Linked DNA regions of Ovis aries. Each later gene encodes a partner of the first gene's protein in a complex. Links are inferred from orthologs where the notes say so. Each region holds a gene or a part of one and is shown in the gene's direction. Other genes may lie near its edges. The genes, in order: DHX16, SNRPD2, SNIP1, PPIL2, CWC15, SCNM1 and SNRPD3.

Evidence for each region.
Region 2: DHX16 (region 1) and SNRPD2 share a complex: the UniProt entries of both Homo sapiens proteins name them as parts of the minor spliceosome. The link is inferred for Ovis aries from reciprocal best matches to the Homo sapiens genes DHX16 and SNRPD2.
Region 3: DHX16 (region 1) and SNIP1 share a complex: the UniProt entries of both Homo sapiens proteins name them as parts of the minor spliceosome. The link is inferred for Ovis aries from reciprocal best matches to the Homo sapiens genes DHX16 and SNIP1.
Region 4: DHX16 (region 1) and PPIL2 share a complex: the UniProt entries of both Homo sapiens proteins name them as parts of the minor spliceosome. The link is inferred for Ovis aries from reciprocal best matches to the Homo sapiens genes DHX16 and PPIL2.
Region 5: DHX16 (region 1) and CWC15 share a complex: the UniProt entries of both Homo sapiens proteins name them as parts of the minor spliceosome. The link is inferred for Ovis aries from reciprocal best matches to the Homo sapiens genes DHX16 and CWC15.
Region 6: DHX16 (region 1) and SCNM1 share a complex: the UniProt entries of both Homo sapiens proteins name them as parts of the minor spliceosome. The link is inferred for Ovis aries from reciprocal best matches to the Homo sapiens genes DHX16 and SCNM1.
Region 7: DHX16 (region 1) and SNRPD3 share a complex: the UniProt entries of both Homo sapiens proteins name them as parts of the minor spliceosome. The link is inferred for Ovis aries from reciprocal best matches to the Homo sapiens genes DHX16 and SNRPD3.

What each region holds. Positions count from the first base shown.
Region 1 is NC_056073.1:27,451,493-27,455,720, forward strand, and holds the start of DHX16 (pre-mRNA-splicing factor ATP-dependent RNA helicase DHX16), read left to right. Parts: upstream 1-1,428; 5' UTR 1,429-1,584; coding exon 1,585-1,791; intron 1,792-3,128; coding exon 3,129-3,379; intron 3,380-3,462; coding exon 3,463-3,625; intron 3,626-3,918; coding exon 3,919-3,975; intron 3,976-4,228. UniProt on the Homo sapiens protein: Required for pre-mRNA splicing as a component of the spliceosome. Contributes to pre-mRNA splicing after spliceosome formation and prior to the first transesterification reaction.
Region 2 is NC_056067.1:53,040,971-53,045,106, reverse strand, and holds the start of SNRPD2 (small nuclear ribonucleoprotein Sm D2), read left to right. Parts: upstream 1-1,336; 5' UTR 1,337-1,398; coding exon 1,399-1,400; intron 1,401-2,753; coding exon 2,754-2,933; intron 2,934-3,903; coding exon 3,904-4,078; 3' UTR 4,079-4,136. Other genes in the region: QPCTL (glutaminyl-peptide cyclotransferase-like protein), read right to left, coding at 373-582. UniProt on the Homo sapiens protein: Plays a role in pre-mRNA splicing as a core component of the spliceosomal U1, U2, U4 and U5 small nuclear ribonucleoproteins (snRNPs), the building blocks of the spliceosome.
Region 3 is NC_056054.1:12,368,528-12,372,027, reverse strand, and holds part of SNIP1 (smad nuclear-interacting protein 1), read left to right. Parts: intron 1-324; coding exon 325-427; intron 428-3,500. UniProt on the Homo sapiens protein: Required for pre-mRNA splicing as component of the spliceosome. As a component of the minor spliceosome, involved in the splicing of U12-type introns in pre-mRNAs. Down-regulates NF-kappa-B signaling by competing with RELA for CREBBP/EP300 binding.
Region 4 is NC_056070.1:72,136,005-72,140,077, reverse strand, and holds the start of PPIL2 (RING-type E3 ubiquitin-protein ligase PPIL2), read left to right. Parts: upstream 1-1,273; 5' UTR 1,274-1,357; coding exon 1,358-1,389; intron 1,390-4,073. UniProt on the Homo sapiens protein: Has a ubiquitin-protein ligase activity acting as an E3 ubiquitin protein ligase or as an ubiquitin-ubiquitin ligase promoting elongation of ubiquitin chains on substrates.
Region 5 is NC_056068.1:15,092,237-15,096,525, forward strand, and holds the start of CWC15 (spliceosome-associated protein CWC15 homolog), read left to right. Parts: upstream 1-1,489; 5' UTR 1,490-1,639; exon of another isoform or gene 1,640-2,090; intron 2,091-2,859; 5' UTR 2,860-2,882; coding exon 2,883-3,013; intron 3,014-3,652; coding exon 3,653-3,765; intron 3,766-4,289. UniProt on the Homo sapiens protein: Involved in pre-mRNA splicing as component of the spliceosome. Component of the PRP19-CDC5L complex that forms an integral part of the spliceosome and is required for activating pre-mRNA splicing.
Region 6 is NC_056054.1:101,063,930-101,067,909, forward strand, and holds SCNM1 (sodium channel modifier 1), read left to right. Parts: upstream 1-1,180; 5' UTR 1,181-1,300; coding exon 1,301-1,402; intron 1,403-1,576; exon of another isoform or gene 1,577-1,613; coding exon 1,614-1,684; intron 1,685-1,923; coding exon 1,924-2,012; intron 2,013-2,110; coding exon 2,111-2,208; intron 2,209-2,322; coding exon 2,323-2,411; intron 2,412-2,812; coding exon 2,813-3,007; intron 3,008-3,640; coding exon 3,641-3,740; 3' UTR 3,741-3,795; downstream 3,796-3,980. Other genes in the region: LYSMD1 (lysM and putative peptidoglycan-binding domain-containing protein 1), read right to left, coding at 220-399. UniProt on the Homo sapiens protein: As a component of the minor spliceosome, involved in the splicing of U12-type introns in pre-mRNAs. Plays a role in the regulation of primary cilia length and Hedgehog signaling.
Region 7 is NC_056070.1:71,542,488-71,544,927, reverse strand, and holds the end of SNRPD3 (small nuclear ribonucleoprotein Sm D3), read left to right. Parts: intron 1-67; coding exon 68-260; intron 261-1,707; coding exon 1,708-1,769; 3' UTR 1,770-1,940; downstream 1,941-2,440. UniProt on the Homo sapiens protein: Plays a role in pre-mRNA splicing as a core component of the spliceosomal U1, U2, U4 and U5 small nuclear ribonucleoproteins (snRNPs), the building blocks of the spliceosome.

The sequences.
Region 1 (4,228 bases):
ATTAGTTTTGACCCAGGAAAGCAGAAGTAAGAAGCTCTGAGATGCCAGGGGTGTTCACAGTCCATTTCAGAAACAGAAAACAGTGCACTCATGACATCAATGATGTGGAACTACTTGTGGCTGTTAGTTGGAATAACAAATGTTTAGTTTCCCAACACAGTGTCAGATAAATCCAATTAATTGTACAAGTATGAAGCAGAACCAGAGGCCAGACAGCAGTCAAGCAACAAGTTCTGCTTATTTAAAATTAAGCAGACACCAGTGACTTTCTCAAGCTGTTAGCAAAAGAAAAAAAAAGCAGAATACAATTTGCATATTTCTTAGTTTGCAGATCTTTTAAAATAACATTATGAGATAGCACCAAGAAAAGAGGGTACCTTTGCTTGTTCTCCACATCTTGAGTTTTCATCTGCCTGGAGTCCTTGATAAGCCTAACCTGTATTCATGTCTTGCAGAAGGTCCTAGCAAAGGTCACTCCTAATTAGTTGATCTGTAACAAGCATGGACCTGATCTTCTAATTTGAATGCCCCACCCCACAAGCGCCCACACACACCTTGCATTATTTTTGGCTCCATATAACTTAGTATTTTATATTTTTATCTTGTCTCTGTCAGGCTGGTCCCCACCCCCAACCCTCTGCCACTGTAAATTCAGTAAGCGATTTGTTTCTGATTTGTTCCTTGCTATATCCCTGGGTACTAAAACTGTGCCTGGCCCACACTGAAAGTGTTGGTCGCTCAGTTATGTCCGACTCTTTGTGACCCCATGGACTGTAGTAGGCCAGGTTCCTCTGCCCATAGAATTCGCCAGGCAAGAACACTGGAGTGAGCTACCATTTACTCCTCCAAGAGGGTCTTCCCCACCCAGGGATAGAACCTAGGTCTCCTGCATTGTAGGCAGATTCTTTCCTACCTGAGCCACCGGGCATTTTGCTGCTGCTGCTGCTAAGTCGCTTCAGTCGTGTCTGACTGTGTGACCCCATAGAGGGCAGCCCACCAGGCTCCCCCATCCCTGGGATTCTCCAGGCAAGAACACTGGAGTGGGTTGCCATTTCCTTCTCCAATGCATGAAAGCGAAAAGTGAAAGTGAAGTCGCTCAGTCGTGTCCGACTCTTCGCGACCCCATGGACTGCAGCCTACCAGGCTCCTCCATCCATGGGATTTCCCAGGCAAGAGTACTGGAGTGGGGTGCCATTACCCACCTGAGCCACCAGGCACTTTAGGTTCTTAATATAGTTGAATGAAATGAATGGGTGTAATACTCACGAATGATCAACAGAGGGCAACAGAAATTCAGTAGGGGAAGAAATGAAAATGTTTTATTCCGAGCTTCGCGTACAATTACGCGAGATTTGAACTCGCTCGGCCACCGTAGTGCATAGGCCGGAAAAGAGCAGCCACTTCCGGCCTCAGCGGTCCAGGAAGATTGTTTTGGACTATCGGAAACCGAACCCCTCGGTTCTCAGGCAGCTCCATTCCGGAGCAGAGGCTCCATCCTGGAGCTCTAGGCCCCCGACCCGCCCGGCCGCCGACGTGGCAGCTGGAGACACTTTCAGGGCCGGGAATAGGGAGCGTGTTGTCGCCATGGCGACACCGGCGGGGCTGGAGCGCTGGGTGCAAGACGAGCTGCACTCGGTGCTGGGACTGAGCGAGCGGCACGTGGCCCAGTTCTTGATCGGTACCGCGCAGCGCTGTGCCTCGGCAGAGGAGTTCGTGCAGCGCTTGCGAGACACCGATACCCTGGACCTCAGTGGGCCGGCCCGGGACTTCGCCCTGAGACTCTGGAACAAGGTGCTGGGAGAGGCGGGACCGGGCGTGGGAGCGGCGGGAAAGTGGGTGGAGCAGGGGAGGGGCCCCCAGGTTACTTGTCCAACGGAGTTTGGGCTCACTTGGGCTAACTGTCCAACGGAGAATTAAGCTCAGTTTGCAAGCAGTTATCACTTTCGGGCTGGACGACCACTTCCGTGGAGAAGGTTGAGGAGGGCTTAAGGGTTGACTCATTGGAAAAGACTGATGCTGGGAGGGTTTGGGTGGGGGCAGGAGAAGAAGGGGACGACAGAGGATGAGATGGCTGGATGGCATCACGGACTCAATGGACGTGAGTCTGAGTGAACTCCGGGAGTTGGTGATGGACAGGGAGGCCTGGCGTGCTGCGATTCATGGGGTCGCAAAGAGACGGACACGACTGAGCGACTGAACTGAACTGAACTGAACTAAGGGTCTACAGAGCAGTGTTTCTCAAACAGGTTTAGGATTCATCCACGGCTTTTGTTAAAATGAGGATTCCGATTCGGTAGGTCTGGGATGGTTTCTTCATTTCTTCATTTCTAACAAATCTTGTAAGTTTTCGGGTGATGCTGGGTGTTGCCCACCCTTCGAAGAGTGAGTCTATAGAAGAGATGTGTGGGCAGTGTTGTGGGAGGGTAGAAGTGGTGTGGCTGTGATCGAGAAAAGCAGGCCCAAAGATTATCTGGAGTTTGTTGGGTAAAGAAAGGGGAAGAGTAAAGGTGTAATGGTGAGCTCCTGGAAGGCAAGACTGTGATTTTTGTCTTTGTATTCATACCATCTAATTGTAACCTGCAGAACAAGAGCTCAGAAATTATACAGTAAGACTAAAAGTGTTGAACTTGTTCATGGCAGATAACTTGGTGTGGCTGTCCCATTTGCACTTGGTGAAAGATGAGAACGTACTTGATGTGAGGGTAGGAGCTCTGTGTTAATCCGTTCACCAGGGTATCTCTGGAGGCCACTACAGTGCTGGCCCGTGACAGGGCTCTGCAAAACAATCTGGACAATCCTTGTCCAGTCCTTGGGTAGGAATGACTTAGTCATCGGGAAGAACAGAGGCTGAGCAGTTGAGAATTGAGTGTGAGAATGTAAAGTCCATGAGGGCAGAAAGTTTTATCTCTTTACCCCTATATCTCTAGTACCTAGCAGGGGGTGCATGGGATAGGCTTAGGAACTGAGAGACCCCATTCGGGCTGATGGACATGGTGTGAAGCCTTGGGGAAGAGACAGAATGACAGCTGGTTTAAGATCAGTTACTCCTTAAATTAGGAACTGGGCAGAGTAGGTGGGCAGAGATCAGGAGTTGCTTACATCCCCTTGACTTCTCTCTCTCCCGACAGGTCCCACGGAAGGCAGTGGTGGAAAAGCCAGCTCGGGCAGCCGAGCGAGAGGCCCGAGCCCTGCTGGAAAAGAACCGCTCTTATATGTTGTTGGAGGACAGTGAGGAGAGCAGCGAGGAGACTGTGGGCAGGGCTGGGAGCAGTGTCCAGAAGAAGCGGAAAAAACGGAAACACCTCAGGAAGAAACGTGAGGAGGAAGAGGAAGACGAGGAGGAGGAACAAGTTTCTGAGAAAGGAAAGAGGAAGACAGGGTAAGTCAGAAGTAGGGGGCGAGAGGGTGATGGAACAGGAAGCCTCTGAGTGCCCTCAGTTAATCCTCCGGGGTGGGCTGCAGGGAGAAGAAAGAGCAGACGGAAAAGCCGGAGTCGGAGGATGAGTGGGAGCGGACAGAGCGAGAGCGCCTTCAGGACCTGGAGGAACGCGATGCATTCGCTGAGCGGGTTCGGCAGCGGGACAAGGATCGGACTCGCAACGTCCTGGAGCGGTCAGACAAGAAGGTGCATTGGAGCAGCACTTCCCATCAGTCCCCAGGCAGACCCCTGGATCCGATCTGAGGTTGGGTGTGACCGCAGATAGTGATCTCTGGGAAGACAAGGAGCCGCCTCCAGTAGTCTGGTCATCTCTTTGGGTCTTTGGGCTAAGGTGGCTCTCTGCTGAACCTGTAACCACAGAGATTCCTCAGTGAAGGGGGTACATTTCTTTGTGCTAGGGAACATCTGAGTGATCCTTGTGATTCTAGACAGGAATGGCTGTGGGCACGGGGACTTTGACCACTCTTGCCTTCTCCTAGGCTTACGAAGAGGCTCAGAAGCGCCTCAAGATGGCTGAGGAAGACCGGAAAGCCATGGTGAGTCCGTGTGCCCAGGAAGACAAAGGGAAAGGCTTCCTGATGGAGTGGTTAGGGTAGGGAGGAAAGATGCAGAGGAGGTGTGGTGGGGCTGTTGGGTCTCTGGTTGAGGCGCCAGCTAAGGATAGACTTAAACTGTAGTGGGAAGGAAGTGGCCCAGAAACCCTCTGACTCCTTAGGATCAGATCAGACTGTATGTTAGTGAGGGAAGTATTTCCCTGTTCCTGGGACTTAAAGAGGTGTACTCAAAAGG
Region 2 (4,136 bases), on another chromosome or scaffold:
TCAGAGGTTTCTAGAAGTCCCTCCAAACCCATCCTGCGCAGCCCACGGCAATCCTGATGAGGGAAATCAAGGCCCAGCGAGAGGAAGGGACTCTTCCAAATAGCTGCCTTTAGGATTAGAACCCAGAACTCCAAGTCTTACTACTCCAGACTCTCTTACGGGGTAACCGCTATTACAAAACAAGCCCGAAGCCTCATTGCATTGGAAAGGGGTATGCGCTCTAAGAACGGAGACGGCGGCACCTGCAGCTAGGGCCATAAGGTAAAGACAAAGCCAGGTTAACCCAACCTAGGGTCTTCCCCATGAGACCGTGGGGAAGGGGAGGCAAGGAGTAAGGGCTTCCGCAGTGCCCATGTCCCCGCCCGTCCTCACCCGCAGTTCCCGGCCCAGCGGCAGCTCTTCAGTCTGGCTATGCCAGCTGCTCCAAATGGTATAGAACACCAAGGCTACTGTCAGAGCCAGCAGCAGCTGGGGCAACAGCTGTGCCCGCGGTATCAGGCGCCGCTTGGGCGGTGAGGGTCGCTCCAAAAGGCTGCGTTCCCCGACCGGGAGTCGGGGCCGCCCGCGGCCCCCGGAACGCATGGCAGCTTGGCCCTGAAACCGGTCGGAGACGGCGGATAGAGTTAAGGCCGAGCCAAGTCCCGCCCCATGAAATAAGCCAGACCAATGAACAACAAGAGCGGCTGCACCATCCGCCCCCCCCACGAGCAGTAAAGCAAATGGGACTTTCGGCCTGAGGACGCGGCTCCTTGTCTTCAGGGAGCTTTGGGGGTTGGTTCCCCCGGGTTGCACAACCCAAAAGGGAGAGCGTAAGAAGTAGGCGCCGCCTCAGCGCAGGAGGGGAAGCCAATGAGAAGCGTTTGATCACCGAAAACACTAGCCTTACTGGGCGCAAATCCACGCCGCTCCCGGATGGACCCTCTCCCCGGTCCAGAAAAACCAATATACACGTAAATCAACAGTTTCCGAAGGAAAGGGGAGGTGCCCATCCCTGAAGCGAGGAGGGGATTGGCTTCGCCAAGGCCGCGCCCCCAAAGGCAGAGCGGGCGGGCATTTGGAAATGGCTAGTATTCCCCTCTTTCAACCTATGCGGTTCTGCAACAAAATGGTTTTAATCAGTCCCGCCTTCTTTTCCTCTCCATGGTCGTGAATATCTGCCCAGCACTGTCTTGAATGGTGGCCTGGAGCTACTTACTAAGTAAGGCTTCTACTCGGCAGCCTCCGCCGAGGGCGGAGATCGCTATAGCAACGGGCCACGCCCCACTCGCTGGTTGGGTATGCGCAGGCGCGCGCGGAAGTGGGCCGTAGGAAGAGGAAGTCCCGCCTCTGGCTCTCTGTTCGGGAGGCACACCACGGAGGAGACGGTAGTGGCTTGAAAACGCGGTCACCATCATCATCATGTGAGGCCGGGCTGGGTTTGGGTGGCGGCAGTGGGATTGAGGGTGTAAGTTTGGCCACTTACCGGTTGAAGTGGGTAGGCAGAAGTGGGCGCGGAAGCAAACATTTGGGGGTAAAGTGGCGTATCTTTCTACTGATGAGTTGCGAGGGGACGTGGGGCCTTTGAAGGATCCTGACTTCGGGAGCGGGGACAGCTTTATCAGATAACAGGCTGGGCTTTCCCAAATAAGCAATCTTATTGAAGTGAAGTTTAAGAGGAAGCGTTTTTACGAATTAAAAACCTGGGAGATGAGGAGTACGGACTTGTAGGAAAAGCGGTCTTAAGGTAAGAGGCGTAGCTGGAGACAATTGGCTTTTCGATCACATCCGCCATTGGTATGGATAACGAGTTATGGGGATGATTTTACTTATGTAGTCACTCAACAGTTATTTATTGAGTTGTTTGTGTATTAGGCTGCTTTAGACGCATAGCTTATATCACTGAATTACTCCACTCTCCCCAAGGGAAAAAAAATCCTCTTCTACATCTTACGGGATGGGAAGAGGCAGGCAGGAAACGTGCTGGTAATAAATCCGTAAATTCTAGAATGTGTTAGGGAATAGGGTTTTGAATAAAGAAATAACAGAGCAGGGTAAAACAGCGTGGAATGTCTCTTGTGAGAGACAGAACGCATGAAGGAGGCAACACTTGAGCAAAAACCTGAAGAAAGTGAGAAAGCAAACTGCAAAGGTACCTGGGGACGTACCTAGGCAGAGGGAAAAGTGAATAGAGGGGCCCAAGAAGGTTTGCCTGATAGCTTCAAGAACCACTGAAGAGGCCATTGTGCCTGGAACAGAGTGAGGGTAAAAGCTGGGCTTTACTGTTTACACTGAGAGGGTACTCAAGAGTGAGATGATTCTTGACACCACCCTTGAGACTGCTCTGTGGAGGGCGAACTGTTGGGGAGCGTGGGTGGAGGCAAGGAGACCTAGGAAAGATGATGGAGGTTTAAGCCAAGGTAAGAAATTCAGATTCTGATAGGTTTTAGTGGCAGATGGCAGGATTTGCTGACAGATTGAATGTAGGATGTGAGAGAAGAAAGAGTCAAGTTGCTCAAAGAACCAGAGGGATGGAGTCACCACTGACAGAGATGAGGAAGGCTGTGGATAGTATTAAGTTGGGGTTATGGGGGGTCTGGAGTTCAGTCTAGGTCATGCGAGGATTGGAAATATCCATTAGGCATCCAAGTGGTGATAGCAAGAGAGAGGACTGAGTACGAAGAGAGGGATATGTGTCGGGGAGACACCAAGGGAGAGGCCATGAGCACCCAGGCTATGGGCCTGCTCACCTCTGGGTTCCATACTTGTCTTTTCAGGAGTCTCCTCAACAAGCCCAAGAGTGAGATGACCCCAGAGGAGCTGCAGAAGCGGGAGGAGGAGGAGTTTAACACGGGGCCGCTCTCCGTGCTCACGCAGTCAGTCAAAAACAACACTCAAGTGCTCATCAACTGCCGTAACAACAAGAAGCTCCTGGGCCGCGTGAAGGCCTTCGACAGGTGAGCACCAGGGTCTGGGGAGGTATGCTGTCCGGGCCTCAGTTTCCTTACCTGTGAAATATGCGTCATAATAATATCCCTCAGAACAGTAATGAGGCTTCAGTAATACTATGTATGAAAAGCACTTGGCTCAGTACCTAACACATGATAAATGCTCAGTAAACACATGCAGCCTTTAGTTAGCATTTGGGAAGTGCTTTCCTCACCGTAGATTACTATATAGCAAGATACAGAGCTTTCCCAATTTTTTTCTTTTCTTTCTTTCACTCAGTCATAGTTCCCTGTATCCTCCTATTCCTTTGTGTGTGTGCATGAGGGCTAAGTCACTTTGGTTGTGTCTGAATCTGTGCAGCCCTATGGACTGTGGCCCACCAGGCTTCTCTGTCTATGGGATTCTCCAGACAAGACTACTGGAATGGGTTGCCATGCTCTCCTCCAGGGGATCCTCCCAACCCAGGGATTGAATTTGCATCTCTTATGTCTCCTGCATTAGCAGGCAAGTTCTTTACCGCTAGAGCCACCTGGGAAGCCCCCCATCCCTTTACCTTGCGTTAGTTTTTCTTCATAGCACTTACTACCACCTGACAGTATATTACAGGTGTGTTTGTTTACCTGCTTCGTGTTCTCCCTTCACTAGCCTGCAGAGCCCATGAAGACAGGGCTCTTACCTGGTTTTTTTTTCATTGCTCTAATCATTGTAAACGTTTGTTGACCGAGCTATTCCACACTGTCATCACACATGCCCATAAGAAAAATAGTGTGTTGATTCACTTAATTTTCACAACAGCCATAGGAGGCAGGCACCATGAATGTCTCCATTTTAGAGACGAGGAAACTGAGGCGCAGAAGGTGAAGTCCTTTGCCCGAGCCTCGGAGCCCTGGCTCTCCCCCTTCCCAGAGGCAGTGCCGCCCAGAGGAAGGGTCAGGACACACCCCTCACTCAGTCCTGCTGCCTCCCCGTCCCCACCAGGCACTGCAACATGGTGCTGGAGAATGTGAAGGAAATGTGGACGGAGGTCCCCAAGAGCGGCAAGGGCAAGAAGAAGTCCAAGCCAGTCAACAAGGACCGCTACATCTCCAAGATGTTCCTGCGCGGGGACTCTGTCATCGTGGTCCTGAGGAACCCGCTCATCGCTGGCAAGTAGGGCCTCCTCCCTGCTGTCAGAACTTTCCCCCTGGTTTTGCGAAGACCTGCCCTCTGTA
Region 3 (3,500 bases), on another chromosome or scaffold:
TCGAGGGGAGAAAAAGAATCAGGGTGACTTCTAGGTTTTTTGCCTGAGGAACAGGGTGGATGGTGGCACTAATTATCCAGCTGGCAGAAAACAGAGGAAAGTGTCTTGGGTGGTTGGGAATCTAGAGTTGCTATCTAAGTGAGAAGTTCTAGTAGGCAGTTACGTATGTGGAAGACATAGGACCAGAAAAGTGAAGCTCCTGATTCTTTTAGTGTGATCAGCAAAGACATGGTGTTTGTGTTAGTTGGATATGCCTGATGCTTGGAGCTGTTTTGTATGAGGGAATGAAAGTTGAGATAAATGTGTGTACCATTTTCTGAACAGGTCCCCAGCCAAAAAGAAAAACAAATCCTCAGGGAGAAGAAGCAAGTCTCCCCGGAGTAAGAGAAGCCGAAGTCCTCACCACTCAGCAATCAAAATAAAGCAGGTAAGTGGACTGAGATGTTTTCGTACTGGCTCCAAACCTAGAGCCTCTCCATCATAGCTAAAGTGGTGTGTGTGTGTTTTCCTGTACCTGCAGTGGGCTTCTCCAAAAACTGGGCTTTTTTTTTTCTTTTTTCTTCTTTCTTTGTTAAACTTTTTATTTTGAGATAATTGTTGATTCACATGCAGTTGTAAAAGGTAATACAAAAGCCACAGTTTGTCCCAATAGTACCATCTTACAGAATTATAGAACAATATCCCAACCAAAATGTTGACATCAGTTCTGTCAAGATACAGAACATTTCCATCACCACAGGATTCCTCAAGTAGTTCTTTTATATCACACCCAGTTCCCGCCTACCCTTACCCCTCCAACTCCTGGCAGCTTCTAGTCACTTCTCCATTTCTGTTATTTTGTTTCCTCAAGAATGCTATGTAAATAGAATCACACAGTATGTAGCCTTTCTGGATTGGCTTTTTCCACTCAGCTAAGTTCTTTTGGAATTCATTTATATTGTTGCTTTTGTCTGTAGTTCCTTCGTTTTTATTGCTGAACTGTAGTCAATGGTATGGATTTAACCATTTGTCCATTAAAGTGTATCTGGGTTGTTAGCAGTTTTTGGCTATTAGACATAAGACTGCTGTGTATACATTTCTGTACAGGTTTTTGTGTGAACATAGGTTTTCGTTTCTCTGGGATAGATGCCCAGGAGTGCAGTTTGTAGATGGTATGGTAGGTGCTTTTTTTTTTTTTTTCCTAAAACATTAATAAATTGTTTTCCAGAGTGCTGTGTTAGTTTGCCAGGTCTTCCATAACAAAATACCACAGACTGGTTGCCTTAAACAACGGAATCTAAGAGGCTAGAAGTCAGAGATCAAAGTTTCAGCGGTTTGGTTTCTCCTGAGGCCTTTCTCCTTGGCTTGCCTTCTTTGTTGGGTCCTCATAGTCTTTCCCTCTGTGCTCGCCCATCTCTGACTCACATCTTCTTTAACCACATCAGCCATATTGGATTAGGGGCTTACTCATTTTAACTCAATCAGTTCTTCAAAGACCTTACCTGCAAAAAATCTGGTTACAGTCTGAGGTGTGGGGGTTGAGACTTCAGTATGTAAATTTGGAAGGGGCGCAATTCAGTCCTTACAGTGGCTATCCCTTTTTATAATGTGAGTGATCCAGCATTTGGTATTGTGACCATTTTGACCATTCTGATAAGTGATAGTGATACTGTGATTTTAATTTGCATGTCCCTGGTGGCTAATGACGTTGGGCATCTTTTCATGTGTTTATTTGCCATCTGTGTTTCCTCTTAGGTAAAATGTCTCTTCAGATCTTGTGCCTATTTTCTAGTTGGATTGTTTTGGGTTTTTTTACTACTGATTTTTAAGAGGTTTTTTTTTTTTTGGTAATATATTCTTAGATACCAGGCCTTTTTGGAGTGAGAGGTTTTCCAGTATTTTCTTTCCGTCTGTATCTTGTCTGTTCATTTTCTTAAAAGAGTTTTCCTCAGAGCAAAAGTTTTTGATTTGTTTGGAGTCCAGCTTGTCTGTTTTTCCTTTTACAGATTATGCTTTTGGTGTTATGTCTAAGAACTTCCCTGACCCTAGAACCTGAAGATACGTTTTTCTTTAATATTCATTTAAGTCCATGATCTGTTTTGAGTTTGTTTTAATCTAAGGAAGGAGCCTTAAATCAAATTTCCTTTTTCGCCCCGTGGATATCCATTTACTCCAGCACTAGGTGTGGAAAGACAATTTTTCCTCCCTTTAATTGCTTTTGCTTTGTCAGAAATCAAAAGTGTGTGTGTGTGCCTTTATTTCTGGGTCCTCTGTTCTGTGCCATTGATCTGTCATTCTGCCAGTACCACAGTCTTGATTACTGGAGCTATATAATAAGTCTTAAAATTGAACAGACTGGTTCTTTCACTTTCTTCGTTTTAAAAATTGCTGGGACTTCCCTGGTAGGCCAGTGGTTAAGACTCTGAGGCATAGGTTTGGTCCCTGGCTGGGCGGAACTAAGGAGGCACATGCCACAGGACATGGCCAAATAAATAAATAATTGTTTTAGGAATTCTCGTGCCTTTATCTTTCCACATACATTTTAGAACAATCTTGTTTGTATCTATTGAAAAAACTTGCTAGTATTTTGATTGAAATTGTGTTAAACTTGTACTTTTTGAAAAATTTTAAAAAATTATGTAGCGTCTTCCAGTCTTTGAATATAGGTGTATCTCTGTTTATTTAGATCTTTGATTTCTTTTATCAGTGTTTCAGTGTACAAGTCCTGTATGTGTTTTGCTAGATTTGCACTTAAGTAATTTTTTTAAGTTATCATTAAATGATGGCTCTAGTCCATGGGGTCGCTAAGAGTCGGACACAACTGAGCAACTTCACTTTCACTTTCATGCATTGGAGAAGGCAATGGCAACCCACTCCAGTGTTCTTGCCTGGAGAATCCCAGGGACGAGGGAGCCTGGTGGGCTGCCATCTATGGGGTTGCACAGAGTCAGACACGACTGAAGTGACTTAGCAGCAGCAGCAAGTGATATTTTGAATTTCAGTATTTACTTGTTCATGGCTAGTACATAGAAATATGATCCATTTTTGTATGTTTATCTTACACCCTGTGGCCTTACTGAACTCATTTATTTGGCCTAAGTAAATCCCAACCTAAAACTTGGGATTTTCTGCATAGATAGTCACGTCTGCACAGGGGCAGTTCTGTCTGTCTTCCTTTCCAGTGCATGTTCATTTTATTGCCCCTTGCTGCATGGCTGGGACTCTCGCACTGAGTGGAGCAAGAGCAGTCAGATCAGGCTCTCCTGCCCTGTCCTCATTCCTGAGGGACAGGCGTTCAGTCATCGTCTTGTGCTCTTTCCTCCAAGTTTTATTTAATTTTTGACAGTGCTGGGTCTTTGTTGCTGTTGTGGACTGGAGAATCCCAGGGACGCGGGAGCCTGGCGGGCTGCCGTCTGTGGGGTCGCGCAGAGTCGGACACAACTGAAGCGGCTCAGCAGCAGCAGCAGTGGACTTTCTCTAGATGCAGTGAGCAGAGGCGACACTCTTGTTGTGGTATGCAG
Region 4 (4,073 bases), on another chromosome or scaffold:
TGCCCTGCACCTTGCTTGGGGCTTCCCAGGTGGCAAAGAACCTGCCTGTCCATGCAGGAGACGCAAGGGACACCGGTTTCATCCCTGGATTGGGAAGATGCCCTGGAGGAGGGCATGGCAACCCACTCCAGTATTCTTGCCTGGAGAGCCCACAGACAGGAGCCTGGCGGGCTGCAGTCCAGAAGGGTGGAAGAGAGTCAGTCGCAACTGAAGGGACAGCACGCAGCTCGCAGGCACTTTGCTTGTGACTGGAGATAGCAGACGAGCAGTTGGGGTCCTGGCTCTTGGGGAAGCCATGTCTCCCTGAAGAGAGAGAGAGGGTGTGTGTGTGTGCGTGCGTGCGTGCGTGCATGTGTGGCTAGACAGTACACAGATGGATTAGTACAGGATTACAAGTGGTAACAAGCCCTTGTAGCTGTATGGGGTGACTGGCTGGATAGTGGTACTCTGAGGAGAGTGGACCCTAGAGGGGGAGGAGGAGAATTCTGCTTTAGCAGACATACTGAATTCGAGTTCACTGGGTTGCCCGAGTAGAGGGCAGGAGTCTTGAGTGCTGGCCATTTAGCGTTGGGAGTCAAGCGATACAGGCGTTTAAAGCCGCGAGCCCGGGCAAGGTCACCCAGTGCTTGAGTGTAGGGGGAGGTCTGAGGCTTGGCCTGGGGCACCCCAACGTGGTGGTCCGGCCGAGGGAAGAGGCCGAAGGGATCACGAAGGCTTTGGACCTTTGGGCTTGATGGCCACCTGCCCCTGGGTAGCCCAGGAGAGGGGGCTGCAGGCAGTGCGGTCCCGGTGAGCGGTGAGAGGGCGGATAGCGAATGTGGGTGTCCATCTGGAGGTGCCGGCCTGGGGCAGAGATGGGGCCAAGGCCGGGGGAACTTCCGGGCTCCAAGCGGAAGACCTGAGAAGCCAGGGCAGACCAGGGCGGGTTTGGGATGGGATGGCGTTGAGCTGCGACCAGGCAGGCAGGCTAGGTAGGCGGTGCACAGAAAGCTGCAGAGACGGGGAGGCTTCGACGCCGAAACTGCTCAGCCCCCGGGCGCGGGGAGCCCCCGGGCGCGGGGAGCCCCCGGGCGCGGGGAGCCCCCGGGCGCGGGGAGCCCCCGGGCGCGGGGAGCCCCCGGGCGCGGGGAGCCCCCGGGCGCGGGGAGCCCCCGGGCGCGGGGAGCCTCCGCGCCCGGCGGGCGTGCACTCGGGGTGGGGGCGGGGGCAGCCAGGGACCACAGTTCCCGGCGTGCTCAGCGCTTGCTTCCGGGGCGGTTCGGCGAGACCCGGAAGTAGTTACGGAGTTCGTCCGAGACGCCGCGGTCGGAGGTGTGCTTTTCCCCCGTCTTCTGCGCTCGCTGACCCTGCCGTCGCCATGGGGAAGCGACAGCACCAGAAGGACAAGATGTGAGTTGAGCCGCCACCGCCGGGAGCGGGCCTGTCCGCCCCGCGCCCCGCCCCCGAGCTCCCGAGACGCCGCTTCCCCGGAAGCCTCCGCCGCTCCGCGCGGGTTTCCGGGGCCCCGCGCTCTCCGGCCCGCCGACGCCGCCTCGCCGGAAGCCTCCGCGGGCTCCCCCTCCGGCGCGGGTCTCGGGGGTCCAGTCCCCTCGGCTCCTCAGGCTCGCCAGCTTTTCCCTGGGGGCGTCTCCTCGGGCGCGGTGGTCGTCCCTCGTCCCCCAGTCCGCTCCCGAGCTCCAGCATCTTCCAGTTAAACCCACTTGGGCCCCCGAGCTACCGTCGAATTTCTTTGATTTTCTTAACCGCCAGACGATATTCAGGACCGCTTTCCTTTAGGATGGACTGGTTGGATCTCCTTTCTGTCCGGGGGACTCTCAAGAGTCCTTTCCAAGAGTCTTTTCCGATGGTTTGGTTTTTACATGTGTGGATGTAAAAGTTCGAGTATAAAGAAGGCTGAGCGCCGAAGAATCAATGCTTCTGAACTGTGGTGCTGGAGAAGACTCTTGAGAGTGCCCTGGACTGCAAGGAGATCAGCCCTGGGTGTTCATTGGAAGGACTGATGCTGAAGCTCCAATACTTTGGCCACCTGATGCGAAGGGCTGACTCATTGGAAAAGACCCTGAAAGATTGAAGGCGGGAGGAGAAGGGGACGGCAGAGGATGAGATGGCTGGAGGGCATGGGACCTCCCTCAGTGGACAGTTCAGTTCAGTCGCTCAGTCGTGTCCAACTCTTTGCGACCCCATGAATCGCAGCACGCCAGGCCTCCCTGTCCATCACCATCTCCCGGAGTTCACTCAGACTCACGTCCACCAAGTCAGTGATGCCATCCAGCCATCTCATCCTCGGTCGTCCCCTTCTCCTCCTGCCCTCAATCCCTCCCAGCATCAGAGTCTTTTCCAATGAGTCAACTCTTCACATGAGGTGGCCAAAGTACTGGAGCTTCAGCTTTAGCATCATTCCTTCCAAAGAAATCCCAGGACTGATCTCCTTCAGGATGGACTGGTTGGAAATCCTTGCAGTCCAAGGGACCCTCAAGAGTCTTCTCCAACACCACAGTTCAAAAGCATCAATTCTTCGGCGCTAAGCCTTCTTCACAGTCCAACTCTCACATCCATACATGACCACAGGAAAAACCATAGCCTTGACTAGATGGACCTTAGTCAGCAAAGTAATGTCTCTGCTTTTGAATATACTATCTAGGTTGGTCATAACTTTTCTTCCAAGGAGTAAGCGTCTTTTAATTTCATGCCTGCAGTCACCATCTGCAGTAATTTTGGAGCCCCCAAAAATAAAGTCTGACACTGTTTCCACTGTTTCCCCATCTATTTCCCATGAATTGATGGGACCAGATGCCATGATCTTCGTTTTCTGAATGTTGAGCTTTAAGCCAACTTTTTCACTTTCCTCTTTGACTTTCATCAAGAGGCTTTTTAGTTCCTCTTCACTTTCTGCCATAAGGGTGGTGTCATCTGCATATCTGAGGTTATTGATATCTCTCCCGGCAATGTTGATTCCAGCTTGTGTTTCTTCCAGCCCAGCGTTTCTCATGATGTACTCTGCATGTAAGTTAAATAAGCAGGGTGACAATATACCACCTTGATGTACTCCTTTTCCTATGTGGAACCAGTCTGTTGTTCCATGTCCAGTTCTAACTGTTGCTTCTTGACCTGCATACAGATTTCTCAAGAGGCAGGTCAGGTGGTCTGGTATTCCCATGTCTTTCAGAATTTTCCACAGTTTATTGTGATCCACACAGTCAAAGGCTTTGGCATAGTCAATAAAGCAGAAATGTTTTTCTGGAACTCTGTTGCTTTTTCCATGATCCAGTGGATGTTGGCAATTTAATCTCTGGTTCCTCTGCCTTTTCTAAAACCAGCTTGAACATCAGGGAATTCACGGTTCATGTATTGCTGAAGCCTGGCTTGGAGAATTTTGAGCATTACTTTACTAGCATGTGAGATGAGTGCAATTGTGCGGTAGTTTAAGCATTCTTTGTCATTGCCTTTCTTTGGAATTGGAATAAAAACTGACCACTGCTGAGTTTTCCCAATTTGCTGGTATATTGAGTGCAGCACTTTCACAGCATCATCTTTCAGGATTTGAAACAGCTCCACTGGACTTCCATCACCTCCACTAGCTTTGTTCGTAATGATGCTTTCTAAGGCCCACTTGACTTCACATTCCAGGGTGTCTGGGAGTCGGTGATAGACAGGGAGGCCTGGCATGCTGCGATCCATGGGGTCACAGGGTCAGAGGCGGCTGAGCTGAGCTGTCTGAATGGCGAGATGAGGACGATCCCCTGTGGTTTTCTGCCTTCCCCTTGACCCCGCTTCAGTCAGCGTCTGCCCGCGTTGCTCCTGTCGGGATCCCTCAACTCCGGGGGCGGCTCCATCCGGGGGTCAGCTCTCTGTCCTCGCTTCCTGGGGCGTGCCGGACCACCGCTCTCCCTCTGAAGCCCTTCCTCGGTGTCTGGGACACCACTCTCTGTTTTCGGGTTTCTTCAGAGACGGTGCTCTCTGGGTTCCCTCTCCTGGGTCCTCTCCTCCCCAGACCTCCTAGGTCTCCTCCCGCCGCTTCCTCTATTTCACACTCTCCTCGGGTGATGGCCCCAGCCTGGCTTACAACACCACCC
Region 5 (4,289 bases), on another chromosome or scaffold:
TAGGAACCAAACCCTAAGAACTCAGGTCAGGTCACATTAAGAAATTTGATTTTTATTCTAAGTGCAGTGAATTTTTATTCAGGAGAGTAACACTACTTGGTTCACGATTTTAAAAGATCACTCTCACTTTTACAGGCAAAGTTAACTGTGGGAGAAAAGTGGGAGCAAGAAGATCATTAGGGGACAATTACAATCCAGGTAGAAAATGATGCTGGCTTGGACTAAGGCAGTGGAATGAAATTTGGGGTATATGCTGAAAGTAGAATTGGGAAGACTTGCAAGTAAACTAGATGAGAAAAGTGAAGGGAAAGGGATTTAAGAGGAGCGCTGGGATTCTGGTTTGAGTAACTAGCCTGATGGTAGTAGTGTCCTTTACTGAGATGTGGCAGATTAGGAGAGTAATTAATACCTTTGGTAAGAAAAATCAAGATTAGCAATTTGAATTTTATGAGGGAAGGGACTTTTTCTATGCTTTGTTTCATTTAACGTTCAAGGAGTTCTGGGGGCGTTGGTGGGGAAAGCTTTTTTCTGTTCGATGTTATGAGCTCTTTACATTTGAAACTAAGGTGGGGGGAGTTCAATTTTCATTTGTTTAACAAATATCTACTGAGCATCTACTGTGGCCAAGGATTATGTGATTAGATACCAAGTTGAACTGGAAAGGCAAACAAAATCCATGCTCCCAGAGGGCTTTTGGTGGGGGAAGGAGTTAGGACGATTGGTGATTTTTTAATTTTCCTGTTCGTTACCTTATGAAAACTTTCCCTAACGCATGAGTAGCCATCTTACAATAGTAACTGCATCTAGGGCTCCTGGCAGTTGGGCCACCGTTCTAAACGTTCAATGTCTGTTAGTATATAAATGAATCTCGACAGTGACACCTCCCCTCCCACTAGAACTTAGGCTTTTATAAAAAGTAAATATTTTAACGAACGTTACGAATACAACCTTCGTTGTGAAGACTAATATTTTTGCAGGAATGGTACCTTTATAAAGATCGTGGTTGCCCCCGTACATATTTGTTCTTTCTTCATATCCAATTAAATGCAAATACTACTTTCCGTAGCCCAACTCTCTAGGCTTGTTGGGTCTAGCTCAGGAGTAAGGAAGCAGGAGCCGTTGGATTTAAACAGTTTGGTGTAATCCTTTTCTATGCTCTCTCGCTAGCCGGGGACTTGGTGTCGGCTACTCGGGGCTCTTCGTTTACGCAGTACCGGAATGAAGGAATCTGGGAGGGGGTCGGAAAAGGAAAAGACGGAACACACATTAATTGACTCTCGAAGCTACACAACAACGTTCAGGGTCTACTCTAAAGCACTGATTTCAAATGCCCGCCCCCTGGGCCGTTTAAGCCCCGCCCCGTGCGTCGTCACTTCGACTTCCACCTTGGTCTCCGCTGACTGGTCCTTGCCTCCGCGGGCGCCTGACGAGCTTGGGGTTTGCTTCCGGGTCTTGGGATTTTTTTTTTTTTTTTTTTTGGGCCGCGGGTGCAGAGGTTTCTGGGAGCGGAGAGTCAAGATGGCGTCTGTATGATCTCCGGAGGTAGCGGCGTTGGAGTTCGGCCAAAGTGAGCGGCAAGAGGAAAGCAGACTGTGGGTTGGACCGTAAGGGGCAGTTGGCGGCGGAGGCAGAGAACTCGGTGCGGGCCCTGGAGGCGCCAGACGAGGAAAGCCTAGTGTGGGTGGGGCCGGAAAGGGGTAGTTGGGGGCGGAGGCAGAGAATCCAGTGCTGACTGAGCGGTCCCCACAGGGGCCTGACGGGGAAAGCGGCCTGTGGGCGGGGCCGGAAGGGGCAGCTGGGGGCGGAGTCAGCTAACCGGGTTTAGGCCGCGGAGGCCCAGGAGCTGCAGACCGGAGAGCCATCTGTCGGTGGGGCCGGAAGGGGAAGCTGGGGGCGGAGTCAGAGAGCCCGTAAATGCGGAGGAGGCGGTGGAGCTGCGAACTGGTGGTGGGGCTCCGCGCCTAGCGAGCGTGTCCCTGGTCTCCGATCGGCTCCCGAGAGCGCAGCGCCAAGGCATCTCGGCAGAGGGCCGCCCCTCGCCCCCTGGGATAGGGGTGAAGAGTCAGCGAGTTCCCTGCGACAGCCCGGAGGTGAACTCCCCGCCCCAGGGATGACTGTTTTGGGGGGGAGGCGGCGATGCTCCCCAGAGACCTGAAACCCTGTTTCTGTCTCTCTGGATACATCCCTCTCCCTTTTTTTTTCCCCGGAAAATCTAGAGAAGTATATCATTTCCCCCAGTTTTTCCCTGACACTTGCTTCTCTGACGCTTGAGGATGTTTCAGTAACCACAAACGGGTCCCTAATTTTTGGTTATTACAGTCCTTTGAGGGTGGGCTCTTGTGTTTCCAGCATTTCTTAAATTGTAACTTGGAAAAGATCTAATTTATATTATGTTGGCTGCTACTGGAGGAAATTTGATCAACAAAAGATTGTTGGAGATATTTGCCTATGTAACTGTCATTGAAGCTTAACACACTTTTTTTACTAGAACACTCAGTAACTTTGTCAGTGATTTTTTTTTTAAGATGTCTTTGCTTTTGTAGTTGTTAGCCTGTTCTGCTGTGTGAGGTTTAGATGAAATGGGAGTAAGGAGTCCGGTGGCGTGAGGTTGAGTGGAGATGTTTTAAATTCAGACATGGCTGTACTGTATTTTATAAAGGTTTTGATATGTCACGTCTCCTGATTTAATAACCTTTTGAGGAATATCCCCATTTCACAGATGACAGAAACTTAAACTTGGTGGCTTGCCAGGGGTCACAGATGTTTGAGGGAATGAGCTAGGGAAATTATTTCACAAGGATGGCTATAGATTAATGCTTTTCAAAATGAGAGTTTGTCATATTGAAAATAACTTGACAGTGTTTTTCTTCAAAGCATAAAAGATGACAACAGCAGCTCGGCCAACTTTTGAACCTGCAAGAGGTGGAAGAGGAAAAGGTGAGGGTGATTTGAGCCAACTCTCAAAGCAGTATTCAAGCAGAGACCTACCCTCTCATACAAAGATAAAATATAGGTAATGAAGCCTTTTAGTTTTTGTTTCACAAGCAAGACCAAGTCTGTTAAATGATGTGGTCATGAGGTAGCATGTTGGGGTTACTATCACTCAAGTTATCTGTTTTCATAGGAGTAGAATGTAGTAGTGTTTCAGACACCCAGAATTATGCTCCATGATTTTAAAGTGCTACCAGATATTCCTTAAGCAGAAATTCCAGTTAACCAGGAATTTCTATATGTAGATTGAACAATGACTAATAATACATTCTGTCAGGAGGAGCAAGCACTATCAATACAAATCAGTATGAGATTAAAAGTGTTGCTGTAACAAGCCCTGAGTTAGCATACTAACAAAAAGTATAAGCGTTTTGATCAACCTGCTGCCTTACTATGGGAAAGTATGTTGATTTAGTTTGAGGTTCTTAAAGGTTGTTGATTTAGTTTGAGGTTCTTAAAAGTATGTTGATTTAGTGTGAGGTTTTAGACATCACAGGATGCCTCTTAGTAACTTTTGGATTAGACTGATGATTTTGTTTATCCCCTAGTGGAGTTTTCTGCTTTAGGACTCAGGCTGAAGTTGTGTTTCTTGAATTGTCTTCCATTACTACAGCCGTGTGTTTTTTAGAAGTAACTTTGCCTTGTCTTGTTTCTACTTTAGACAGACCACTCAGGATGCCCCTGAAGAAGTTCGAAACCGTGACTTCAGGAGAGAGTTGGAGGAGAGAGAGAGAGCTGCTGCAAGAGAAAAAAACAGAGATCGGCCAACCCGAGGTACCAATACTACCTTAGACATCTCTCATAACATTATGTTGACAGTAGTTTTTCTTTCATGTGGTAATAGGAATGGATTATTATTTTTGTTTGTTTGCTTTTAAATGTGGGGTGAGAGCTATAGCAGTTTCTTGAAAGATTAGATTGGATTGGATTGATTGGATTAGATTATATTGGATTGGATTAGAGATGATAATGAAGTTGATACCAATTTCATCTTATTATGCCTCTGTTTTAGAAAGAGCTAGGGGATATTTAGCAACTGTTATTTCAATTCAGATTAAGGAGTTTTTGACTATTTACAGCAGCCAGACTTTTTAAGGCCCCATGGTTTCTGTCTATGAAATTCTTCCATTTTTATTTCTAGCATGTGTAAACTGTATCCTAAGTTTCCTGAGGCTACAGTTTCCATAATAAAATCAATACTTTTGTTAACTCATTCGGCAGGTATTTGTCAAGGACTTACTTGCCTGCCACTGTTGTTATAGTCCCTACTGTCATGTTTAAGACCTAAGCTCTTGGTG
Region 6 (3,980 bases), on another chromosome or scaffold:
AATGGGACAGGATTTGTTCCCACCAGACAGTGCAACACTGAGATGAGGAAACAAAAAGATAAAGGTGACCAAACCTTTATCACAGTCAATTTATCACAATTAGTTAATATAAACACAATTAAGAAAATTTCAGGGGAAGTTGCCTAGAGGGCCATACATTCTCATGAGGAATAAACCTCTTCTAATTGGGTGTCTACGTCCCAATCCTGGAAGACTCACCGTCACCCCGTATTTGAGTGCTAGTCCAGCCAGGGTGTCTCCGGGCGCCAACTGATGCTCCAGGCGTCTTTCCCTCACCGGGGAGCAGGCAGACTGCACCAGGCTTCCATAAGAACGAGCCCGGCTCCCTTGAAGCAGTCCTGACCCCCCGAGGGGGGCCTGTCTAGAGGGAGAAGCCATCTCCTCACCCTGCGGACACTGAGGTTACAACCCCGGGAGGCCCGGCCAAGTGACCGATAATGACGGGCTCGCGGTCCGAGAATGGGTATCTTAGAGGATTCCTCTCTTTCAGTCTTCTCTCTTAAGTCTCCCCGCCTCCCCCGGCGATACGCGACTTGTCAGCCGTAGCTTCTCCTCCCTGCAAGTCCCCTTCCCACAAATCTGTACTCCGACTATTCAGTCCCTACCTGAGTCTTTCCTTAGCACCCCTCCGACTTTCGACTCCCCACAACAACTCGCTACGTTGACCCCTGACCTTTGAACTCTAGCAGCCTCCTTAACACGCAGCTCAATTTGCCCCTACGTCTGGCAGCCCGACCTCCAGGCTCCCCAATACCCCGACTCCGCCCGGTCCCGGGGTTAGCCCTCTAGGGTCAGGAACAGATCAGGCCCACCCTATATGGGCTGTGGTTGCAGGCGAAGGGCGTGACAATAGCCAGAGTCTGTAGCACTCTTTCTCCGTCAGAGATCCTCAAAGGTATTCTCCAAACCAAATCAGTCACACCCTCAAATTCGGGCTCCTCATCTAGGTTCTTGTCATTCCAAACGCCTCGAATCTGCCAAGACGAAAGGGCCTGGATCCAGCCCGGCGGCAAGCTCTTTGAAAAAAGACTTCATTTCCCAAAAGGCCCCGCGCCGGTGAGGTCGCAGGGCACCATAAGAAATACAGTCCCCCTCGGCCGGCTAGAAGCTGGCTTCCGGGATCGCGCAGTGCATTCGTGGAAGCACACCCCCGGAAGTCAGGGGGCCAGCAGGAAAGAGACCGGAAGGAACGGAGACGACCCACTCCTGCTACGGTGGCCTGAAAGGCGTGGCGAAGGCGGCTGGATAGAGTTTTTGATTTCTGGGGCTCACAGTCTTGATGTCTTTCAAGAGGGAAGGAGACGATTGGAGTCAGCTCAATGTGCTCAAAGTATGCGGAGAGGAGTGCTTCCGAAGCAGCTTCACCTGCCCTCTGAAAGCTGTAAAGGAGCTGTTTTGTTGCTGTGGCAACAACTGGGGGGCGGAGTGGAGGGAACCAAAAGACTAGAGGTGGTGGTGACCCCTTTTTCACCGCAGATGTGTGTTCTCCCATGGTCTTTATTCCCTTTCAGTCCTCGTCTCTATCATTTCCCTTTTATCCTTCCCTCATATCCAGCTGATCCCGTGCGGACTTCTTCCCCTGTCTCCTGCAGAAACGAAGGGTCGGGGACCTGCTTGCCAGCTACATCCCAGAGGATGAGGCGCTGATGCTACGGGATGGACGGTGAGAGCGAGGAGTGGATCAAGTTTAAGGGTTTTGAAGTTAGAGACTCAAGAACTTTTGTTATTAAGGAGGAGAGCGGGAGTATCTAGGATTCTTTGGCTGGGAGTGAGTAACAGGGATGTGGGTGATGGAGACTGGGAGACTTGGGAGTTGGGCTTTGGAAATGAATGCTTGGACGGGGTGGGACCTATGACCAAGACTCCACTCCCCAGGGACCAATTATCTTTCTTACTCCCCAGCTTTGCTTGTGCCATCTGTCCCCACCGACCCGTCCTGGACACTCTGGCCATGCTGACTGCCCACCGTGCAGGCAAAAAACATCTGTCCAGTAAGTTTGGGAAAAGACAGACAATAGAGTAAACCCTTAAAATCTCTTCAGACCACCCTTGGTGCTCTGCTTTTAATCCTCTTCCCCTTTCTCCTCAGGCCTGCAGCTTTTCTATGGCAAGAAGCCAGCAGGAAAGGGCACAGAGCAGAATCCAAGACAGCATAATGAACTCAGGAGAGAAGAGACCACAGCAGAGGTAATCAGAGAGGGGAAGTTGTGTTCCAGGCAGGACTGTGCTGCACACCTTAGGCTAAAGGACTTTGGCTTATTTCTGGCTCTGAAGGCTCTGACTCTGCTGTCTCCATGCCAGGCTCCTCTCTTAACCCAGACTCGACTTATCACTCAGAGTGCTCTGCACAGAGCTCCTCACTATAACAGTTGCTGCCGCCGGAAGTACAGGTTAGTGGGATGGGAAAGCCAGAGGTAGGGAGGGACAAGAGATAGATAGCTCTAAAGTGATTATTTTCCTAATTGTAATCTGAGACATACTAAGTGTTCTGGGGGTGTTAACTTGTATTTCAGGAAAAAGATTTTTGTAACTAAAAAAGTGCTTTGTAATCCTATTTGATTAAAAATTAGTGTATTTTAAGGGTTCTACAAAATCATAAGATAAAAAAAAAACCTTAAAAGATTTAGACTTTCCTAAATTTACTGGATTCCAGAATTCTTTTTATGCAGAACACTTACTAATATCTTGAGGAACACAAAATTGGGAAGCACTCCTATAAGGAGTTGGGAGTCACAGGAGATTAGGCCCTTTCCTTTACTGCTTTTACAGACTTCGATTCTTCTCTGTCCAGACCGGAAGCCCCTCGTCCCTCTGTCTCTCGTCCCCCTTTGCCACCCGCAGAGGCTGAACCCCAAGGTGGGAAGATCAGTAGAGAACCTGAGCCTGAGGCTGGCTCACAGACCAAGGAGTCAGCCACTGTCTCATCCCCCGCACCTATGAGCCCCACAAGAAGACGGGCCCTGGATCATTACCTCACCCTTCGAAGGTGAGTATGCAGAATTTTTCCTCAGTTTTTCCCTTTTATCTCTGACCCTCCTTGTTTCAGAGCTTCTCAAGTGTTTTTACTTATCCCCCGGGGCTTCCCAGGTGGCACAGTGGTAAAGAAGACATCTGCCAATGCAGGAGATGCAGGTTCGATTTCTGGATCAGGAAGATCCCCTGGAGGAGGGCATGGCAACCCACTCCAGTATTCTTACCTGGAGAATCCTGGCGGGCTACATTCCATAGGGTCACAGAGTCAGTTCCTCTTGAAGCAACTTAGCACACGTGCATGCATGCACAAAGACTCCTTACATATGTAACTTTTTTTTCAAATAGTTCAGGAAATTAACTACAGTTAGATAGAAAGAACTATTGGGGCTTCCCAGGAGGCTCAGCAGTAAAGAATCCTATAGTGCACAAGAGGCAGGTTCGACCCGAGTTGGGAAGATTCCCAACTGGAGAAGGAAATGGCAACCCATTCCAGTATTCTTGCCTGGGAAATCCCATGGACAGAGGAGCCTGGCAGGCTACAGTCCATGGGGTCACAGAGTTGGACATGACAGAGCACTCGCACACATGCTTTTCTTAATTTAATAAACTTCCTTTCCTGACCAGTTCTATTTTCTGGTGTTTCCAGCTCTGGATGGATCCCAGATGGACGAGGTCGATGGGTAAAAGATGAAAATGTTGAGTTTGACTCTGATGAGGAGGAACCCCCTGATCTCCCCTTGGACTGACATCCTCGTTCCCCATTCATTTCACAAATAAACTACAGCCGGCGCTGGGAGCCCAGCTTCTCCTGAGTCTGGTTCCTTGTTTCAGGATTTCAGATCTGTTCATTCTCAGCCCAGCCAATTCTTCTCTGCAAGGTACACAGCTCCCCACACTTCTGACCCCTCCCCCACCTTCTCCCACAGTCATGCCAAGCGTCAGCTGCATGCAGCCTGGTGCCCTATTAATAAGTCTGTCAGAAGGAG
Region 7 (2,440 bases), on another chromosome or scaffold:
CATGCCCCCTGCCCCCTGCTCTCTGCCGGTGCCCGTGACCTTACTGACGAGGGCGGTTCCCTTACAGATGTCCAACATCACGGTCACGTACAGAGACGGCCGCGTGGCCCAGCTGGAGCAGGTGTACATCCGGGGCAGCAAGATCCGCTTCCTGATTCTGCCCGACATGCTGAAGAACGCACCCATGTTGAAGAGCATGAAGAACAAGAACCAGGGCTCGGGTGCCGGCCGGGGCAAGGCGGCCATCCTGAAGGCCCAGGGTAGGTGCTGCGGGCGCGGGGCTGCGCCGGGCAGACGAGCCGGGGCCTGCTAGGGAGGCCCTGTGGCTGGGCAGCCAGCTCCACACCGCTGCCCCGCAGTCCTGGGGACCCCCAGACCCCACCTTCTCGGTCTTGCCTCACTCGCCCCCACTCAGGACGCGCACAAGATCCACAGCTGCTCCTTAAGGAAAGACGGGCTCAGATGAGAGCGGATGAGTCCGCTGTGGTGACTGCGGGGAGCCTGCCCCGCGCTGCTCGCTGAGCAGAGGCGCGGCCCTGAAGGGCTGGGGGGGTGGGCCCTGTGTGGCTGGGGTGTCTCCTGATGCCCAGCGTGAGCGAGAGAGGTGGTGTGGGGAGGGGCACTCTCAGATGGGAAGTCAGCCGTCTGGGGCCATCTTTTACCCGTTAAAGGAGGCTGAATGCGATTTTCCTTTGCTACGTTCCAGAAGTGGGACGTGGTCTTCCCAGTGATGCGGCCTGATCGTTTTCCCTGGGTTAGCCCACTCAGTGTTCAGGGTCAGGGTCCTGAAGAGTTCTGCCGTGTTGATCAGCTAGGAAACGAGTGAGTCGTTAGGAGCAGTCTGAGTATCTATCGATACAGAGCCAGAAGGTCCCCGGATGCCCCTCAGGCCTGTAACTGCAGCAGGCCTGTCCCACTTCAGGTGGCCTTGGAGCTCCGAGGGGCCTTGCAGATGCCCTCCAGGAGAGCCGGTCAGGGAGCCTCCTCGCCCCTCCCGGCGGGGACTGGAGCCCTGGCCCTCCGTCCAGGGGAAGGTACGGAGGCTGAGCTGCAGCTGCTGCTCCGCTTCCTCGGGGCCGCCCTCCCGTCTCTGTCGGGGCTCTAGGAGGCGGTGCCCCCAGGTTCTCACGGCCTGCCTTCCCTCCTGGGTCAGCTCCAGGCTCTGAGAGGAGAGTCCAGAGGCCGGCAGGGTATCTTCCCTTCTTCAAAGCCACTGGTCCCCTCTTCGGACCTGAGTCAGAACAGCGGTCTTCATCGAGGGGTGGTTTGGGGTTTTCACCTGTGGTTCCCCGGCCCCCATTCAGAAACATTCCACGTGCAGAACAGCTCAGAGAACAAGAATCCTCACCCAGATTTAATAGACGTTAACACTTGACATCTGTTTCGGAATTTTACGTGTGAATTAAATGCATCTGTAGTGTTTTGCTTGCTCACCCTGGGGCAGCTCTGAGAATTCATCTTTTCTCTGGTTCCCAGGCGGGCCCCCCAAACCACCGTCCCTGCGAGGCCCTGCCCCCAGCTTCTGGTGGGGCAGTGCTGGGCCAGGAGACAGGTTCAGGGTGTCCTCTCCAGCTCTGCCTGGCCACCCGCCCCTCCTGGGGGCGCTTTCCCCGTGAGGTGTGGCGGGCGGGCCTGCTGCTGGACTGGCTCCTCGGTGGTGAGGGTCCGCACCGACCTGCCTCGTCTTTTCTCTCCCCTACCTTTCAGTGGCCGCAAGAGGGAGAGGACGTGGAATGGGACGTGGAAACATCTTCCAGAAGCGAAGATAGATTTTATCTGTTGGACAGAACTTTGCTTTTTTTTTTTTTGTTTTAGGTTATCTGGGTCGGGGTGCGTGCCTATGTATATGTCCTAGGTTATCTGTTGACATCATTTTCTTTAGATGTGGGTAAGATGTTAAACTAAATAAATATGGTGGCTTTTTCTTTTTGAGAATCTGAGGACTCTGTTCCTTTTGTAGTTTTTTTGCTGTGTTTGCTTGGGCCGCAGCTTAAGCTTTGACACCCTGGGAGGTGTGCTGGGGAAGCGCCAGTTTGAAGTAGCACAGTTATTGATGAGCACGGGGGCCGCCGTCCCAGCCGGCACTGGCTAAGCGCTTGGAGGGGCTCCGAGGGCGCACAGGTTCCCTTGTTGGCACACAGTCATGCACGCGGCAGCCTCTTCAGGAGCACTGTCAGCTCAGCTTAAACAACGGGACACACAGGTCCTGCCTGTGGGGAAAGAAACCAAGACCCAGAGCTTACAGCCTGCAAGCCCCAGTGACTCAGCACCTAGCAGAAGTAATCTAATACGAGAAGGTCACTCAGAGCCCCGTGGCTCCTGCAGCCCTGGCTTCCTAAGCAGTGCTGCGCTGACCCGGGGGGCAGGGTCCTGTGTGTTCGTCAGAGCGCTCGGCGTGTACTGGCACAGCGGCGGCTGCTGACGCAGAGACGGGGTGTGC